Linked DNA regions of Coturnix japonica. The protein of the gene in region 2 binds, or shares a complex with, the protein of the main gene of each other region. Links are inferred from orthologs where the notes say so. Each region holds a gene or a part of one and is shown on either strand. Other genes may lie near its edges. The genes, in order: POMC and OPRM1.

The links.
Region 1: the proteins of OPRM1 (region 2) and POMC are in contact, whole or in part, in a cryo-EM structure (PDB 8F7Q), measured with the Homo sapiens proteins. The link is inferred for Coturnix japonica from reciprocal best matches to the Homo sapiens genes OPRM1 and POMC. Residues at the interface, in NP_000905.3 of Homo sapiens: Ser66, Met67, Ala70, Ile71, Met74, Gln126, Asn129, Tyr130, Leu131, Met132, Gly133, Trp135, Val145, Ile146, Asp149, Tyr150, Met153, Arg213, Ile217, Asp218, Cys219, Thr220, Glu231, Lys235, Val238, Ile298, Val302, Lys305, Trp320, Ile324; in NP_000930.1 of Homo sapiens: Tyr237, Gly238, Gly239, Phe240, Met241, Thr242, Ser243, Glu244, Lys245, Thr248, Pro249, Leu250, Val251, Leu253.

Annotation. Positions count from the first base shown.
Region 1 is NC_029518.1:96,189,912-96,200,023, reverse strand, and holds POMC (pro-opiomelanocortin), read right to left. Parts: upstream 4,963-10,112; 5' UTR 4,874-4,962; intron 4,287-4,873; exon of another isoform or gene 3,900-4,286; 5' UTR 3,860-3,899; coding exon 3,731-3,859; intron 2,919-3,730; coding exon 2,295-2,918; 3' UTR 2,054-2,294; downstream 1-2,053.
Region 2 is NC_029518.1:45,126,801-45,137,023, forward strand, and holds the start of OPRM1 (mu-type opioid receptor), read left to right. Parts: upstream 1-5,088; 5' UTR 5,089-5,208; coding exon 5,209-5,543; intron 5,544-10,223. UniProt on the Homo sapiens protein: Receptor for endogenous opioids such as beta-endorphin and endomorphin. Receptor for natural and synthetic opioids including morphine, heroin, DAMGO, fentanyl, etorphine, buprenorphin and methadone.

The DNA.
Region 1 (10,112 bases), about 51 Mb from region 2:
ACTGCTATAAAATCCCATGTCACCTCTGGGGCAACCCCTTTCCTTCCAGCTGGACACGCTGCTTCTGATTTCACTACAGGAGGAGACACAAGGAGGATCTAAAACTCAAAACTGGAGGTGTGGGAGATGGTGCTGTGCACAGTGGGGGGACAGCAGGTAAACCCAGTGGTCGCAGTGGTGCTGCCTGTGGCCAATGGATTGCTTCAGCGACCACTCCTTTCTCTGCCCCTTCTTACTGTAGCTCTTCAGACAGTTACTTGAAGGTGTAATACCACGTTGACATCGGTTTGTTTTTTTTTTCACTCTGGTGGTGGGTGCAGTTTGCAGTTGCCCCGAGGCTACCACTTGTTTGTGTGGCTGTCATGTAATCCGGGTTTAGGAAATGACCTAGCTTAAGAGGACAGAAAAAACAAGGGTTTATTTCAGTCCCAGGGCTGGGATTGCAGTGTGGCTTTGCCAGCCCTGCCCAGAGCCTGAGGCTGTCCCTTGCCACAGCCACTCCTTGGGGTCCCCCCCATCTTTTTGTTCCCAGCCTGTCCCTTTTTATTTCGTTAGTCCCCCTGGAGTTTTGGCTGGGTGAAGTTGGCATTGGGAATGCAAGGAGGCTGCTTGACAAAGGAGGATTCACTCCCATAGCTGTGCAAATGAAAAACAGTAAATGTTTAGCAAAATGGAGTAGTAAAAGGAATTAACCGCCAGACTGTGTGTGCATGGGGGGGAGGGGATGACACCTCCAAACCACTTCAAACTCACAAGGAAGGTGGGAAGATGAGCACAAGGCTTGCTCCTTGGAACCTGGCTGCCATGGGGATGGCACAGGTCACGTCCTGGGGTTCCATTGCTTCTCAGGGATCCTGGGGCAGGACTGCACCTTATCCCCTGGCTGGGGGTTTCGGTGTGGTCTCCCTGGTCCCAGTGCTGCTGTTCCCTTGTTACATCCCCTATTCCCCTCCAAAAGCAAGTGCTGGCTGTGCTCAGCATTACATTTCAGGACCCAAACTCCACTTGTAAATGTCTCTGCAGATACACACACACAGTGTAAGTGATTTGTTTGTACATCACATTTAGTTTAGATACCGGTGTCTGTATAGATGACAAAGTATATTTCTATAAACTCAGCAGTTAGGTGCATGTGTGCGTTTCCATCTCTGTATTTCAGGGCACCGTGTTGTTTCTGTGTGTAGTTGAGGGCAGGAGGGGAGTGGGGCTGTGAAAGGGGCTGAGATGCCGTCGATATTTGCAGACGTGCCCTCCAATAAATGTTGGTGTTGCCACATTATGGGATCAGCTCTGTTGGCACGTTCGTGGCACCTGGTTTCTCTGTAAGGCTGGGGGAGGTGGTAGGGATTTGTTACTCCTGGCACAGTTGATATTTGCTCTTGAAGATGGTCCCAGATCCACAGCTGCTCCCCGCTTTCATTGCCCCTCTTTACCATGCTAAACCCCTCAGGTTTAGCAACATGACTTTATAGGTAAGGTCACTTTCTTTGGTACCTGAGGGTCTTCTGTGTTGCCATTTGATAGGCAGTTAATGAGTTTATCAGAGAGATCAGTACTGGGGAAGCTGCTGAGGGATGGGGGAGCCCAAATCCCTTGGGAGTAACCTCTACTGAAATATATCCCATCTCCCATGCACAGCCCCAGTGATGCCTTTTGGTCCCCGGCTGCAGGATTTGGGCTTGGAGTTACTCCAGATTTCACTGGTAGAGCCCTGGAGGTGTTGAAGGCCAGGTTGGATGGGGCCCTGCACAGCCTGGTCTAGTAGTAGATATGGAAGTTGGCAGCCCTGCCTGTGGTGGCGGAGTCAGGGTTGGAGCTTCACAATCCTCGAGGTCCCTTCCAACCCAAGCCATTCTATGATATGATTCTATGACAATCATTAAGGTTGGAAAAGACCTGTAAGATCATCAAGTCCAACTATCAATCTGTCCCACCAAACATGTCCCTGTTTGTTTTACCCCTTGGCAAGACACAGCCACAGAGACACTGCAGACACATAGATAGCTTGCAAAAATTATATATATATGTCTTTTTATTTAATTTTTTTTTTCTCTTTTAGAATTCTTTTAATCCATCATTTACAGTATTGTACAGCTTGGTGAAAATAGGAAAATGACCCAGCGTGAGCACTGCTCACATTGGTACGTTCAGCCCCAACCTGTTGCCATTTGGTGTCGGGGGCAGGAGGGTTTTGGAGTAGTAATTAACAACATAACGAGCGATCTGTGGATCTAAGTGACACACATGGCGGCAGGACACTAAAGCTGCGTGGGGCCGCGTGGGCTGGGCTCCCCTCACTGACCCTTCTTGTAGGCGCTTTTGATGATGGCGTTTTTGAACAGAGTCATCAGCGGGGTCTGGCTGTGCTCTAAGGTCATGAAGCCGCCGTAGCGCTTGTCCTTCAGCGGCGCATGCCAGCGGAAGTGCCGCATACGGTACGAGCCACCATCCTTCTTTTCCTCCTCACCCTCCTCCTCCTCTTCTTCTTCCTCCTCTGAGAGGCCGAGGGGGTCCCCGTCGGCCGCCATCTCCCTCCGGAACTCCATGGGGTAGCTCTCAGCTGACTCCTCATCCACACCATTGGGATACACCTTGATGGGTCTCCTCTTCCGTCCCACCGGCTTACCCCAGCGGAAATGCTCCATGGAGTAGGAGCGCTTCCCTTCCTCTCGCTCCAACCCTTCTCCATCTTCCTCCTCCCCAGCGGGGTGGTGGGGTGATGTGACGGGCAGGGCAAGGCCGGCCACCTCCTCCCTTTTGTGCCCTCCGCTGCTGCTGTTGCGACGGCCAAACTTATTCCAGCGGAAATGGCTCATCACGTACTTACGGATGCTCTCAGAGAGGGGCTGCAGGTGTCCATTGCCTGGGTACACGGGTGCCTCGGCCGACAGCTCAGCTCGGCACGCCTTGGCACACGCCTGCATGGGGTGAAATGGAACCGTAAAATCATTCTGCTTAGAAAAGACCTCTAAGATCACCAAGTCTGATTGCCAGCCCATCACACCATGCCCAGTCACGGTGTCCCCAAGTGCTGTGTCATGGTTCTGGAACACCTTTAGGGATGGTGACCCTAGCATCCCCTGGGCAGTGCATCACTGCATCACCTTTAGGGCAAGAAATCTTTCCTAACGTCCAACCTGTGGCCGCGTGCCTTGGTGACGTCCCCATGCAAGTGCCACTCTATGTGTCCCCCAGGGGGAGCATGGAGTACCCAACCCATTCTATGGGGATGTAAAAGGTGCTGGGGGGGAGCATTGAGTGCGTTGGATCCACAGAGCACACTCAGCCCCTGCAGAGAATTAACCATGACCACCATCCCATGACCATCACTCCCTGATTTCCTGATTCATCCCACGTAGGAGGGATGATATCCGTCCAAAAACTGATTTTACCCAACGTGAAGATGTTCTTTACAATGAAGGTTGTGAAGCTGTGGAACAGAGAAGCTGTGGGTGCCCCATACCTTGATGGAGTTATGTGCTGGGAGGTGTCCCTATGGCAGGGGTTGAGGCTGGGGGGGCTTTGGGGTCCCTTCCCACCTAAACCACTTTAGGATTCTGTGACTCTATGAAGCCAAAAGGCGTGAGCACACGAAAACCCTCAGATCACAGAGCCCAAAGCATCACTCCAACCTTACACTATGTCACCCAGCAGGGATGGCATCCCATCACCTCCTCCGTTTGGGTTAGAAAGCAAACCAAGCCCGGGGCAGCCCCACGCTCCCACTTACCAAAACTCCAGCCTCAGTGGCCAGGTCCTGGCACTTGCTGTTCTCCCAGCATGGGCCGCTGGCAATGGTGGGGTGGCACAGCAGCAGCCCCAGCACCACAGGCAGGCTGTAACACAGCACACCCCGCATGGTACCAGCCAAGGATGGGTCCCCAAACTGCAGAGGAGCGCTATGGAAACAAAGAAATAGTTAAAAAAAATAACAACTATTTGCCCAAATTCAGGGCTGCTGCTTCTGCTGGGATTTCATCCCCCTCCTTCCAGCCTTTTGTGGCTTTGCTGTCACCATCCTTTGCCTCCGAAATCCCAGGTCCTTTGTCACCTGCATTAACACCCGCCTTTGCAGGTGACAGCCGCTGCCATGAGGATTTCTGCCCCTCCTGAGAGCCACAGGCAAGCGAGTGATGCTGCAGGGGGAGAGCATGATGGAGCTGCCTGCAGGCTGCAGCCCCTGCAAACCCCCCTCAAGCTGAAATGGTACATGAAATAACATCAGATCATCGCTTGGGAAGCGCTCTGGGAGACGCTGGAAGTGCCAGGGATGCAGGCTGTGCTGCAGGGACTGCTTTGGGTGAGTCCAGACGAGGTGAGGGTTGTGGTGATGGTGGCAGTGCCAGGCTGATGTATCCACTTAACTTTGCTTTTGCCAAACCCAACTCTTTCCCAAGTTGTTTTTAACTTTGTGGGGACTCACGTGGTTCAACCTGGGAGTGCCAGGGGAGGAAAACCCCATCCCAAAGAATAGAAAACTATAGGCAAATTAATGAAAATCTCATCCTGCTCTTAATAGAGAGTGGGCAGAGTTTGGGCGTGGAGGTGCTTTTTGGGTCTTTTGCCCCAAAATCGTGGGAGCAGCTGCCTGGAACCTCCCAGCTCTGACACAGCTGTGTTGGATCTGCAACTGTGGGGCCACTTCTGTAACACATCAGCATGCAGTAACCCAAAAAAGCAGAGAATGAAGGGGGGGCAGAGGCTGGGGGGCAGGGATGCACGAAGCATTTCAGGGAAGAGGGTGCTTTATCCCCTTGCTGCCATCCTTCTAACCATGCAAACAACCCACTGCAACCAAGATTTTGCAAAGTTTTCCCCCTCCCATATCCCTAGAGAAGCCCTTCTGGGCCATGCTGCATCCCTGAGGTCTCACCTGCGGCTTGGGCTGGAGCGCAGCCACCACCGGTCCCCGTCTCCCCGAGAGCAAGTCTGCGACGTCCCTGCATCCCTGCTGCCTTATATACCCCCAGCGTCGCGCCGCAGCCGCCCTCTGGATGGCCCTTGGTTGGGGGTGGGAAAGGGAGGGGAAGGTGGGGACGGAGGGACCCTTCCAGGTAGCGAACAAAAGCAGAGCAGCAGTGAGCACGGCGCTGATGTGGCTGTGGATGGGATTAGCATCTCCCCGCCAGCCGCAGCCGGCCAAGTTTTCCATGCGAAGCTGTTAATTGCTTTCGGGATCAGAGGGGTCGGACGGAAAGTGCTTTGCTGGGTGTTTGGTGCAGGGGCATCTGTTCCTTATGATCGGGTGTGGGAGGGCTCCGTGCTCCGATGGGTGCTGGGGGTTTGGGGTTGGATTTTGGTGGAATAAAGGGTTGTTTTTAAAGAAACCACTTGGGATGGCAGCACACACAGCCCCCTCCTTGTGCACAAACCTCTGTTCTCTCTGTTCCACTGGACTGCTTTTGTCTGCAGATCCCTCTCCTATAGCAAGGAATCCAAGGCTTAGCAAGACTCATTTTCTTTAGGGCTCACCTGAGCTGTAAAATATATTGCTATAGAAGCTGCCAATAGGCTCCTCCAGACACCGAGACCAAGCAATGTGCAGGTGAGCAGAATGCTCCCTTCCTGCAATGGGATGTGGGTGCTCCCCTCTTGCAATGGGATTTGGATTCTCTCCTCCTTGCGGTGGGATGTGGGGTGCATGAGGTTGACATCACTGCTTTGGGATGGTGCACAAAGCTCCGTCACAGGTTCCATTTCACTTTGCTTCATGCCTTTCCCAGACCTCCAGTTCCCCCCCAGATCCAGGAGACCTCTGTGGCACAAGCAATTCATATTCCTTAACTGTATTATCTGCCTCCACCCTCCACGGCAGATCCCCTGCTATGCAATATATTTTCATGACGGAGAGCTATTCTGAATGCTTTATGGCCAAAAAGGAGCTATGATTCCCACTTTAAAAGCTCTTTCATCTTCATTAGGCCTCTCTGAGCCAGTTATTTTTATAAGGAAGAAATCTATTTAGGAAATAGGGAAACTTTGTTGAGGTGAGGCGTTGGGATGAAGAATGCCTCCACGCTCACCAGCCTTGATACAGCCCCCAAAGCTTGGTCTGAGTCCATCCTCTGAGCTCCCCATAGCCCAGAGCCTCAGGATGGTTGGGTTCCCAGCACCACGGCCAGGGGCTGTGGGGCACCCCCAAGGAGGACCCCCACACCTCTCCACTCCCTGTGCCAGGGCTTGAGCACCCACCCAGCACTGCAATGCTACTAATGGGCAGCTCTTGGGCTCCAGGCTGTGCCCTGTGCCCCTGGGCTGCCCCGAGCACTGTTGAGCAGAGCCCAGTTACATTCCCTTGTACTTCCTGCTGGGATTTATGGCCAAGGTGTGATCCCTCAAGGCCTACACAGGTGCTGCCTGAGCATTCCTGGAGCTGGGGCTGGTTCAGCTGCAAAGCCATCACCATCGTGCCCACTTACAGAGTCATTAGTATTGGAGAAGACCTTTGAGGTCATCAAGTCCAACTGCTGACCTATCACCATCATACCTACTCACAGAATCACACAATCATTAAGGCTGGAAAAAACCTCTTAGGCCACCATCAACCCAATCCAAGTCCAACTCTAATCTATCCCCACCATGCCCACTAAACCTCAGTGCTACATCTCCATGGCTCTTGAACACCTCTGGGGACAGTGACTCCATTACTTCACTAGGCAGCCTGTGCCAATGGCTGACACTGCAAGGCTGGGGGCTGAATTTTGGGATGCCATGGGCAAGGGCTGATGGATGGATGGCTTTGCCATGCTGCTGTCCCCATGGAGGTGCACCTGCAGGTGAGCAGCTCGTCAGCCACGTGATTTCTGGCCTTTCCATTCTAATTTATTGAACAGGTCACACTTACGTGCAAATGAGTCCTGGGCTGGGGTGTGAATTTCACAGCTGTGCTCAAATCCTCCTGGGCTATGAACAGCAGTGCTGGGGCTTGTATGGGTCTTCTGACAGCCATGTAGTACTGCCCGGAACAACATCCCTCCAGCGTCACATCTGTGCCTTGCAGCCATATGCTGTGTGCTGCTGGATCGTCCCCATCCCTAATAATCTCAGGTTAGAGATTTCTTGCAGTGCTTTGCACTGTTGACCTGGTAGCTCTTTTACTGGTTTCCCCATGAAGGTAGGACATTTCTGGGAGAAGACATAGGAGTGATCAATCCTGAGCACACACATTGAAATGCGAGCTGTGTAATTTGCTCTTAAAATGGTTGTGCTTGGCCATGTGTTCACTACCAGAACAAGAGCAGCTCCGGAAGGGGCTGGGGTCCCATCACCAACCTCTTGCTCCTGAGGTCATCGGATTGAAGTTAGAATGAAGGCATTTGGCTAGGAAGAAGCAAAAAAAAGCATGTGGGGCTCTGAAGTGTATGAGAGGATGCTGTGCATCACTAAACAGCTCCCAGTGGACCTGCTGGTCCTTCAGCAGTGATGAGTATCCATGCAAAAGGGTAGGAAGCATGGCAGCCTGCTGCATGGGATGCCCTTCCCAAGGAGTCACTCACTCCAATCCAGTAGCTGTTAATGACAGAAGGCAATCATTAACTACTGCACTCTTTGCTTTTAGACTGAACTCTGCTCACATCAGCTCCTGGATTTGAAGCTGTCCTGCTCTATGTGCTGGGTTAGCCCAGGTCAGATTTATCCTGGGGGCAAAAGTGGGTGAGGTGGAGCCAGGAACCCCCAAATCACCCTGTTATGTATTTTGTCCAGTTACACATTTTCTTCTCTCCTTCCTGCTGCCTTTCTTCTCCTTTTTGCACTGGTAGCATCCTGCAGACATACACAGGCACAACAGAGCTGCGATGATGCACACGCCTGCACGCTTTGCCCTGTGCTCACACACGTTTGCACGCCTGGAGCCAAATCCCTGATTACCGCCTGTGCCCCTAAGAGGGATTACAGCTTATTAGGGGGGATCTGGGTGTGGGTAGAGGTTAGAAGCCCTGCAGGGGCTTCCTTCCTATAGCTCAGCTCCCACACCGCATTCCTGTGTTCCAGTTGTATCCAGCTGGATATGTATTCCATTCCTGTCTGCTCCCAGCTGGTACCCAGATGGAGCATGGAGAGGGTGCCCAAAGCCAATATTGGTGGCTGGGGTGATGCCAGCTGTGTGACTCTGCACTGGGGGTCTGGAAGCAAAGTGGGTGGCAAAGCTGATGGCAAAACCAATGGTAAAGCTAATGGGCAAGACTGATGGCAAATCTGTTGGCAACACATCCTGGCCTCTTGTTCAGCACTGCAGCAGACTGAGTGTGAGTTTGGTGGCAGATCTGCAAGGACAGAGATACTGTCCATGTCCTCAGTCCTAGCAATGGGTTTGAGGCTGGACAAGGATGGGTTTGGGGATCAGGAGCTGCCCACAAAAACAGCTTGTGTTAGGGAGGATTGAGAAGAAGGCATGGTGGTGGCACAGGCTTCATGATGACCCTTAACAGCTTCTTCTTAATGTGCAATCTGCATTGCTGGCTTTGGGAGTGTGTAGATGTGGTTCAAGAAACATGGAGATGTGGCACTGAGGGACACAGTCAGTGGGCATGGTGGTGATGGGTTGGGGTTGGACTTGATGGTCTTGGAGTCCTGAATGATTCTATGATTCTATGAAAGAGTTGGCCAAGCGGTGCCTGATGTTGGCTTCAGTTGACCCTTTGCTATCAGAGAGGCTGCAGCTGACGTACATCCACGAACGTGGAAAGGATGCTGGGGACAGTGAGCCAAGCACTCAACCTTGGGCATTTCAGAGCTTCGTGGTTATGACTATGCACATTGCCTGGGCTCCCATTGAATTCCTCCCCCCCTTCCTTCCCTCCTCACTAAATGCTCCCCGAAGAGCTCAGACATCAATCGAAGGCAGTCGAAATGGCTGTGCTTTGTCTCCCTGAAGAGGCAGCTCCAGCGCAGCTCTACCCGGTGGCCGGCCGCCCCACAGCAGCGTGCGGGGCCCATTTTCACATCTCCCTTTGTGAAGGAGCAGCCTTGAGCTAAACGGCACTCAAGGGGCATTGAACGAAATGTTTGTTCGCCTCTTCCATGTGGCACTCAGCGCCCGTCTCCGCCTCTGACGCTAATGATCCGGACGAGTTTTTTTCCGAGTATAATGGGGAAAAGAAATGAAAAGCAAAGGGGCTGGGGGAGGGGAGGTGAGATCCATTTAGAAGCCCAAACATTCACGGGGAAAGTGGCTCCTGAGTGGCCACACAAAGGCCCGGCTGTGCCCGGCTCTGTCCCTCCTCCGGCTCGCCTCCCCCGCCACCTCCGGCCCCGCAGCAGGACCAGAGGGATGAAGATAATGGATTGCATTATCAGCAAGCACGTTAAATGCCCATCCACTCATGTGCAATAAAGAGAAGCTGGTCTTTAGCTAATCGCACTGGAGGAGCTCTCAGCTGAGGTTTGAGAGCGAAATGTTTCCCTTGGTCTCCCAACCCAAGACTGCCCCATAAGGAGCTGGCTGTGGGGTGTGATTTGTCCCATTGTTACCATAGAATTATCGAATTGTTATGGTTGGAAACAACCACTAAGGTCATCAAGTCCAACCATCAACCCATCCCCACCATGCCTGCTAGCCATATCCCTCGTCTACTAAACCATGTCAATAGGAATCCTACCATCACATCCCATCCCTCGTCTGCTAAACCATGTCAATAGGAATCCTACCATCACATCCCATCCTAGCACAGCACCCTGGTTTTCTTCTGGGATGACTCTGGAGGGAGAATGTCCACATCTGAGCAGCGGAATGGCAGCTTTCATAGTGGGATTTGCTATTGCAATGAAGGGATGCAGCCCAAATGGCAGCAGTGGAAAATCTCCATCTCCACTTGAGAACCAGTAGGATGCCCTTGGCACCTGCCAAGGTAGCATTTTCCCATTAAGCACATCAGGTAGATGCTGGAAGAAAGGAGGAGCCAGCTGTCTGCCCAAAACTCATCATGAGGATGGGATGGGGTTTCTAGGAGCAGGAAGCCATGCCTTCCTGCCAAGATGTTGGCTTAATCCCCCGTGTGCTGATAAGGTCACGCCAGGACCCGTGCTCCTCCCTCCCGTGCACTGTCTGAGTCTGGTGGCTCTCTTGGCCCTATTTATAGTGCGGTGAGAGGATCAGGGGGAATCAGTGCCCA
Region 2 (10,223 bases):
AGTTACACTGAACACAAGATCTCCCCATGGTAGATTAAATGTACTCTTTCTTAGAACTTCTTAAAGTGCTGCAAATAAACGAGAAACAGAGGATTTCAAAGAGTACAGAACAGGAACTTGAAGGATGGAATAGGTCATGCAGTCCTGAAAATGATCCACAAAGGCTGCTCAGGCAAAAAGTTTCAGAAATGTAAGCAGGTAGAGGCAATTAAATGTTAAGATTTATAGGACTGGTATTTCAGGCAAGAAAATACCAGAAATAGGTTTTACGGATGGAATTATAAGCTCACTTCACACAGGACCAAGTTCAGACCATTTTCTTATCTGAAAATGAGCAGAGTTTGCAAGATTTTGAATTCTGTAGCTTTTAACTGTTTTAAAAATTAACAAACATGTGAAAGCATACAAATATATATATGTGCATGTCTATATATAGTCAATGCTCTCCCTTTGCTTTATTTCTAAAATTAATTTCTGAAAATAAAGTGATTTAAAAAAAAATTTATATATATATATATATATATATATATATATATAGGTATCATTATGCCCATTCCACAGCAATTTCACTAGTGTTCTTCCACATCAATAATCAAATTCACCTCCTTATTCTACAGTAAGGGATTATTTAATTTCATTAAATAAATAATGCATAGATATTGCTAAGTATTACAACAACCTCAACTTTCAGTGCTACCAAAATGGCACTGAACTGTGATTCAGGAGTTGTATATGTTACAGAACAATTTATTATGGTTCTTAAGAGTCTTCTGGTTAATTCATAAATCTTAGTGGAACCTATGAGTCCCACAACAAGTACTTTACTATCCTATTCTGAGGATTTCCTAAAATTGTATTACTCTTTAAAAACTATCTGAATCTCCTTCTTTACCAAAAATCTACTGTTTCAACACATACTTAATGCTGTCCTTCTTACATGTCAGAGCAATATTTAGTATTTAGATTATAAAAAACAACTCTTATGTTATATGATAAAAGCTCATCTGCACATTCACAAGAAGCACAGAGTAACAACAGAAGCTGAGTGATCCTAAATAATACCCTGCTCTGGCTACTCCCATGGCCATAAGAGGAGGCCAGCCCACCAAAGGCTCATCTCCCCAGTGCATAAAGGAAAAGTCCTGCTATGTCAGACTACTGATATACCTCACATCTTACATCTCTGACATTCGCTTGTACTAAACACTTAAAACAAGTTGTTTTTTTTCTTTCACTCCATTAGCGCCAGCTCATCTTGCCTTTAATAACACACATGACAGTCCTACCCCAGTCTCTTATGTCCTGGATATTTCCTTCTTTACCACCTCCCCGCTTTAGCCCTCATCACCTCCTTACATTTGTCCTCATCTCTTCTGCTGGATAGCTCTTGTGGGCCTGCTGCCAAGATCCATTTAACTATTTTTTTATTTTTTATTTTTCTTGTCTATAAAGATAAGAAGCAGCATTTTCAAGAGAATATAGGCCATTGTTAAAACATTTTTACAGATCCTTAAGATATATTAAAAAGTGTTGAAATGTGCGATTCTAAATCGTGTATTTACAGTGTATATGCAGTATCGATATAAACATCATACATAAAATCCTTATGAACTGAGCAGTGGAGGCTTGAATTTCTTCAGGGCAGAAAAAAGGTTTTGTACAAAACATTGCAACTGAAACTAAGGAGATGGAGACATGCTGATCTCAATTAGTATGACTTTGGGTAAATAGCTTAAAAGAACCAGAAAGACACAGACAAGTTATCTGAGCTATGTTAGATAAAATCATGTCTAATGTAGTAGCCCCTTCAGGCCATTGAAATACTAAGATTAATTAACAGGCTTACCCATAAATTTTAAATTGCATTTTCCATGCTACACATTCCTTGCATTACATGATGAGTAGAGTTGACTAGTCTGACACAGCAAGGAGATGTAAGAGCTCGGCTCCCTTTTGTCCATCACATTATGCCATTATTTGCACATGGTAGAATTCCAACACATACTTTTCAGTTCAAAGTGATTTAAATAAGGAACTAAGAGATAAGGACCACGTTTAGTCTGTTCTACACATAAGCAGGCTCTGCTCAAACACCAGCCAAACCTGAAGGCAGGTCACACAGCCTGTTAGTATGGTACAATGATTTAAAACAGTCTTCACAGAACTGCTACCAAAACACTATGACTACATCACCTAGAGAATGTCCTTACCAGGCGACAGGAGGATCTATCTTTAATGCAGTTCACAGCCAGATGAAGACTATCATTCTGAGAGATCAACTGACTACTACTTCTTCTTATCTGGCTGAGATGTATGGATGAGCACAGGCTCTTGACTAACATTCTGCAAGGAGAGAGAATACTTCCACTAGCAAGGCTGAAGAAGAGCACAGCCTACTTCCAGACCTCTTCTTGCCCTGATCCTGTAAGAAACAAGTCCCACTGCTATGCTACCAGTATACAGGCTATCTTTATAAAGGGCAGAGCCATTCTCTCCATTCTGTTTGCTAACTGGATTGTAAGCAAGGAACATTGTTTCCATTTAGTTTAGGACCCACAGAGTTACTGCAGAAGTGACCTCGCTCCATGAAAACTCTGGTTTTGCTGTGGATGTATCTATAATTGCATCAGAGTGATCTCTCTGATTGCTACTCCTAGGACTGTTTTTGATATACTGTTTTCACTCTAAAATTCAATTCTTGAGATTTTCTCAAAGCTTGAGCCCATCAATTTTTAGTTACAGCCTTGGGAATTTATTTATCCTAGTGCTATGGCAGAAAAGAGACATACAAAAATCTGTTCTGTGTTGGAAGCTGTGATTCTGACCCCAACCTGATGTTGAGGCAACTATTGAAGACGTACATGTCTTAAAGCTCTGCATTTTCCCTTTCTACCTGCACCATACTGCTACCCACAGGATTACTGATCTGGAACTATACAAATGTATTTTCAGCAGAATCTTAACTATGCAGCCCTCCATGATCTGAAGTTATTTGTAGAAAAGTATTATACATTATTATACTTAAAATGTCCTTCACCATCTGAAAGCATCATTGCAAAGATTTATTGCGTGCTGCCTTTGTCCTTGAGCAATAACATCTGTAATAGCATTGCAAAGAGGTGCATTTACTATCATCCCCTTACCTTTGAAACATCGCTTAATGAGGCCTATCTTAAATAGGCACAATTCCCAAGGCTTATTGCCAATTCTCTCTGAGGTCTGCGTTTTCATCTGTACCTGCCAGAAGGTTGATTTAATAGGAATAACAATTCTTCTGTCTTTAACAATAAAGCCTTGTATATAACACCAGATTTACCTGGGCATCCATTTTTAAAACTTTTGGAAGACACTCATTTTTAATCCATCAAAGGTCCTTCTGATAGCTAGAATGATACAAAGCTGACTTTAACACAGAATACAACAACAACAAAAAAGCTGTAGCAGCCTTGATTTTTGTTTCCCATCTGCCCTACTCCTTTCACAGCTATACAGAGGTGTATCCAAAAGGCCAAACACTGACTGCCTAGGCTTGCATTAAACTATTTTGATGGAGTTGGTGGAACAAAGGGGAAGCAGTGAGAGAGGCTCCTACGCTATGCACATAGTGCACTATGCACAGAGATAAAAGTCTTTGGGAACAGCTCAGTTTTAAAGCCCTGCTCCTCCTGTTCTGTGTACAACTAAATATGCTGCACTTCAAGAAGCAGTGAATTTCACCATGAGAAGTCTCTGAGTATTTACTTTCATTACTGCATGTCCACAAATGTTTTCAATTCTGAACCTTTCTTCTTATTCTGAATATGATGCTAAATGGCTCTCTCATCAATAAATGCTGAAAATACTCTCTCTGGCCACTGGGTAATAAGTGCTATCTACACAAAGAACCTGTTAACAGCCTGCTCGATTTTCTTCCTCCACTCTGTTGTATCTTAGTGAGATTTGAAACTATATCACTTTAAAAAAAAATGGGTATCTATTACTCATATCTGTATCCCTCTCAAAGTCCAGTAACACTCCATTTTAGTTTTCACTGTTTTTCCTCCTCACTGCTAAAGGTCAGAGATACTTTAGAAGAGTGTGTGGTCTTCTACTGCTACCCACCCTAACCAGCAGTAGCTGCCATTACTTCTGACACAAAAGCTCAGGAAATCATTGATCTAAATTGCCTATATTTTTGCATCTTTCTGGCAGGCTGCAACTCATCTCTTCTTCTTCTGCCATTATCACTCCTGAAACAGCAGGACATGCTTTGCCTGTGGTAAGCACAGACACTGAGGACAAGTCTGTGATGAGGCAGCAGGGGCAATCACTGCCACTCCATCTGCTTCCTGATCACCAGTATTTCTTCTGCTTTACCAAGGAACCCTTCTGATTTCATTGATGAAGCAGTAAAAGAAACAGGTCCTGGTAATTAGCAATCAGCCACCCTGCTGGCACTGCTGGCAATGTCTGTCTGTACACAGAAATGTGCAAATAAGCAGTGGCCAAGTCAAACACCTGTTTCAGTGTATGGACATTGCCTTCCAGTAAAGAGAACGGTCTCCATATCTTTTCTTTTGAATGTTATCACATCTGACAACAATGAAACCAATTTCTAGGGGAGATGGCTCTTACAGGTCTAGAGTGGAAATATCTCCAAAAACTATGTGAATATAGGAGTTCCTAATAATTTCCAAAGCACATTTCTGTCCAGTGTGGTACCACACAGCTCCCCACGTTTTACTTCCAGTGTCAGCTACTCTTTCTCCAAGCCACAGAATCAGGGAGGGCACAGTCTGGTCGATATTCTTGATTCACTGCATTAATCAGCTGCACGCTGACCCCTGCTCAGCTCGGGCAGCATCGCCAGACATTTCTTCCAGCTGCTTACCCAGGGGAAGGGAACGCTTTAAGGGCTCCCCATCCTCATATGCACAGCAGGGCAGACTCTATTACAGCAGCACACTCTTAACCCCAAAAAGCGCTTCGCTTGACGCCTCACGAAGACCTCACAGGGGAGTGAAGCGCCACCTCCCCCCCGTTCCGCATCTTCCCCGTCGTCGCAGCTCCTCCTCCCGGCCCGCCCGTCACACACATGTGCCCGCAGCCAGCGGTGGGGCGCGCCGTCGGGGCGGGCGGGAGCCGCCGCCTCCCTAGCACCGCCCGCGCCGCGCATCTCTCGCATTCGGGCACGGGGAACCGGTGGCCGCTCTGACGCCGCCTCGTACCATGGCCGTCGCTTACCTTTTGGGAAACGGCTCTGCGCCGCTCTTCGCCGGCGCCCTGGAGGTCCCCTTCGGAGCCAACGCCTCCGCTGCCGCCTGCCGCCCCGCCGTGCCTCCTTGCGCGGCCGCGCCTCCGGGCACATGGGGTAACGGTACGGCGGGCTGGAACCGCTCCGAGCCTTGCAGCGGTGCCAACGGCAGCGCGGGCGGCGGGCCATGCGCTCCCGCGGGCGGCGGCGGCCCCTCTGTGGTCACGGCTATCGCCATCATGGCCCTGTACTCTGTAGTGTGCGTCGTGGGGCTTTTCGGCAACTTCTTGGTCATGTACGTCATCATCAGGTGAGTGCCGCCGTCGGGCTGCGGAACGGCGTTCCGGCGGCGGCGGGGTTAGGCTGCGGAGGCTCCGCGGAGCGGTGCGATGCGAGGGATTCCTGCCTCCTGGGTGCGGGGTGGATGAGTAGAAGAGGCTTTGAGAAAGCGTCGGAGCGAGAGATCGTGGAGGGAAAACGCGGCGGGGCCGAGCGCCCCGTCGGAGATACTCTACGTGCCCCTAGGGCTGCAGCACCCGTCAGCGCTCCGACCGTGGGGCCCGACACTCGCAGCTGTCCGCTGCTGAGGGAGGGTAGAAGGGGACCGCAGCCACCGCGTGTGCGGGTATACGCACAGCACTCAGCGCGCATCTGTCCCCAAACCTGTGCCAACACAAAAGCAAAATATAAACGGCATCTCAGCTCAATGTTTCTCTCTCTACCTGGATTTATAGATCTTTACCTCGAGTGTTGATGTGCGTGTTTTATGCTCGTATACATCTGGGTCTGTGTACTTGTATATACATCCACCCGTACGCATGGGGATCCTGGCAGCTCCCCAGGCTCCCAGCTGCGCTGCAGCAGTGAGCGGCATTGTCACCCGCAGGTCCCTCACAAATGTGTCTTTCACGCACGAGGAATCTCATAACCGTAAACCGGCGGCAAGCGGGTGGCAGAGAGATGAAACGGGCTCCGGTGGAGTCCGGGTCGGGTGTTCGGATTCCGTGGAGGAACAGTGCCACCTCCCGGGGGCGGCGGGGCCGAACGGGACGAAGCTGCCCTCGAATGCCCCGGGTCGGGGCTGGCGCGGCACCGCCTTCCCCCGGGCAGCTGGCCTTTCCGAACCGCGCTTCTGCAGGGAGTGCCCCGGGGGAGTGCTCCCTCCTTGCCGCAGGTCTTGCAGTTACCCCGGGCAGCCTCTGTCCCTCTGTGCAGACACTGCGTGGGGCTCAGTGGTAGCTGTAACAAGCCAGGGTGATGCTCCAGTGATTCTTTTGGTGTACAACATAACAGCAGCTGCTGGAGATGTGTCTGCAAAGCCCGTACAACTCATAAACCTATTGGGAACATGACTTACACACACCAACGGTTCAGACTATTACAGTTAAGAATCCTACTGCTTTTAGCCATACTTTAGAGGCAGAACAGGGAAGATTCTTTGTGCCATGAGAATTTGGTCAAGGTGAAATCCAAGCTGTCTATGTGAGAAGTGCTCCTGAACAGGAACATGACTGCAATGGTCTGAGCAAGTAGTGAACGCCTTCCTTTGGGAGAAGAAGCAGATGCACAGTGTAACAGAGCCAGGGTGGTTGTCAGCAGTGTGTATGTTAGAAGTCTTCCATGGAATTGTATATTTATACCAGCCATAACCTGTTCTGGGTTCATATTTCTTATATTAATTAATTCAATTACGCTTACACCACAAAGCCAAATTAAATGAGGCACCTGCATTCAGCTTTCTATCTTGAGACCATCTTTCCCAGAGATTAAACCTTAACACAAAAGCCAGAAGCAATAAAAGGCAAAAAAAAATATGTTTTAATTTTACAGAGGAAGACATAAATCAGTTAAATTACCTCCTTAAAACCACTCTGGAATTCTGCAACAGAGATAGGACTGAACCCAGGTCTCCTATGCTTTCACAGCAAGAAGCTTTCCATATGACAAATTTCCTTCTCAATATCCTATTCATATTTCCTGATTTAGGATGAAAAAAAGCTTGTTTATTATGGTTGAATAGAATCTGCAGTTTAAGCATCACAACAATGCCTTTCCTTTCTGTGCTTCTATATAGGTTTGGTATACTTGGGCACCTGTAAGGAACTCTGAGTTTTTTCCTGTTGCAGGCTATACTGACATGAGAGTATTCCCATATTATATTACATGCGTATATGGAACAGTGAGCTTATGTGCTCATATTCATGAAACCTTAGGTCCCACTAAAGATAGGAGGCAAACCTTTCCTTGGTTCTAATTTGACGTACTATAAATCTCCCTATCTTTATCTACTTTTCATACAGTGACTGCTCAAGAAAAAGGAAGTTCTGATGTTTGTGTTAATTTTGAGATGAATTAATACTACAAGAAAGAAAAATTGAAAGTGATATTGGCAGCTTGTTTACTTTGAAAATGCCAGAAGCTTGGGGGGAGATGCTCAGATGTTTGAAACTGTCCCTACTCACCTCTTAGAGTCCAGTGAAAGTTTGGAGTGCTGCATGCTAATACATTGTGCTCAGCTTCTTTGGAAACATTTTGTGGAATAGCTATTAAGTTATTTTTATAAGCAGATGACCTTAAAGCCCCATCCAGTTGTCCCGTCTCCTCCATGTGAAGCAGATCTGTGGGCCTGGAGCCAGAGCAGTGCAGTTGCTTGCCAGATGTGGAACTGTCATTATCAATATATAATGTCATGGGCTTTGTATACCTGTACATTATCATGCAATCTCAACCACCCTCCTCATTCTCCCAAATGGTTTCTATTCAGCTGAATTATTTCTTCCTTGAATTAATATTTACAACGCATTATATCTACAGTATGTGAAGCTGAACCCCATGTTACCGACACTGAGCTGTTTCCTTTGTGAGGTATGAAAAATGCCTTCTGAGTGACAGCAATAATAGTCAGGTTTTACTGCCAGCCATGAATTTTGTTATCTCTTTTCCTCATGTGTTTTGTTTAAGCATGAACTACTAATACAAACACAGTGTCATTACAGCTATATTAACAGCAAATGCTACAGCTAGTTGTTGTGGAGTACAACTCTGTGTACAGTTACTATCATCATGTGGCACTGAATTAATTTCACATCAATCTATAGGCTTTTCTTGCTTTCTAGACAAGTCAGTAGGATATGATGAGAGGGGGATGAAGAATATGGCCTGTGATTAAGGAGGTGTTCACAGTGCTAAAAAACTGTGATAGATCATAGCTGAACATCTTTGGCATCACCAGAGTAGAGAAGTTGAGGCCCCAGCCGTGCACTGGGTGAAATGCCATGAGACTGCAGCAATGCCATCAGTAGATGCTATTAGCACTCAAAGCAAGAGCAATGCCTTAATTGCTGTGCTAATCATTTTGTCACATATCATAAACAAAGGAGCCTGAGGTGCCCCCTGATCCTTCACAGGATGAGGGAAATGCCTTTTTGCATTAGAGTAAGTGATTACAGAGAAGTCTGCTTTGAGGCAAAAAGCTTTTTACAGTTCTCAACTGTGTTTTGAAAAATAAAATACAAAAATTATTACTAGATCATCATCTGATTTGGGAAGACTGTACACTTCTGAAACCTCTGCTTACTTCAGCCTGGCTCACTTGTGCTTTGAGAGTACTGTTTTAGTAAGAAAGGGACTTGGCATGTAATTTCAATTGTAGGAAGAATGGATGTCTTCAGAGGAATACTCTGACACGTGGAAAGAAAAGCAAGGAGTTCATAAACAGGATATGGAGTGGAGAGAGTCTGATTTGAGAAGTAAGCTGAAGATGACCCACTGAAAATGATCAGAGGTTAAAACAGACTGAAGCAAAGAGTTTTTTTCCAAAAACAAACAAGCAAACAAACAAACAAAAAACAACAGGAGCTCTTCTTTGCAAAGGGGCTCTGAGTTATGGATCCAGTGTGAAAGAAGATCCATGGAATGCCTTGTGGCAGTATAGTTCAGGGAATTTAGAAACATAGAAATCCATAAAATACATTCTTTTCTTTCCTGCCCACAGCAACCTCAATCTCTTTTCATTTGGATGACACTGCATCTGCCATCTCCAGGGAGACCTGATAGCAGCCTTTCAGTATCTAATAGGGGGATATAAGAAAAGGGACTCTTTAGCAGGGTCTGTTGTGACAGGACAAGGGGAAATGGTTTCAAACTAAAAGAAGTTTGGTTTAGATTGGGTGTAAGGAAAAAGTTTTTTTGCAATAAAGATAGTGAGACACTGGAACAGGTTGCCCAGAGAAGTGGTGGAGACAATCAAGGTTTAAGGGAATCTAAGTAGGCAAGACCAGCCCAGAAGCCGAGTTCAAAGAGTGGTGCAGTGAGAAGATGACCCTCAGCACACCACATTACACAAAGGCATGTGTCTCATTTGCACACTGCTTGCAATAAAAATTTACCAACATCTAAGGTAAGGTGCTCTCCTCTCCTCCAGAATCAAGAGGAGCAGATTAGATAAAATGCCATGTATACTTCTCTATTTTCATTTGGTTTTTTTTAAGTTATATTGATACAACCATGGTTGATGACCTCAGAACAGCCATGGTCTCTCTGAGAAAGAGGCCAGGTCAGGCTGCCCAGCCAACTCCCACCTGCAGGACTTGGGCTACCCCTGCAGCACCTCCACCCCTGGGCAGAGATAGATAGGCTGAAAACTTCTCCCCTCACTCAGTTTCCTCATAAAAGTCAACCTAATTGCTCTGACTGTTCATGGTATCAGTAAAACTAGAACATATTATAAGCACATATTATCCATATTTTAATTACTAGCAAATTAATGATGAGTTAATGTGAGCTAGCATAATCCCGAAATACTGTTTTGTTTTCAAATCATCAGTCATAGCTTTTAATGAATATTGTTGACAGGCTTTCCTTTTTACATTTTTCTAGAGCAAAAGATGACATACAAAATCTCAGACAAAAACACAATGTAAGCCAAAAAGTCTCATAATCATTACCACTTTTCCAGGCATAGACAGTAACTGGTGTTTAGACAATGAGA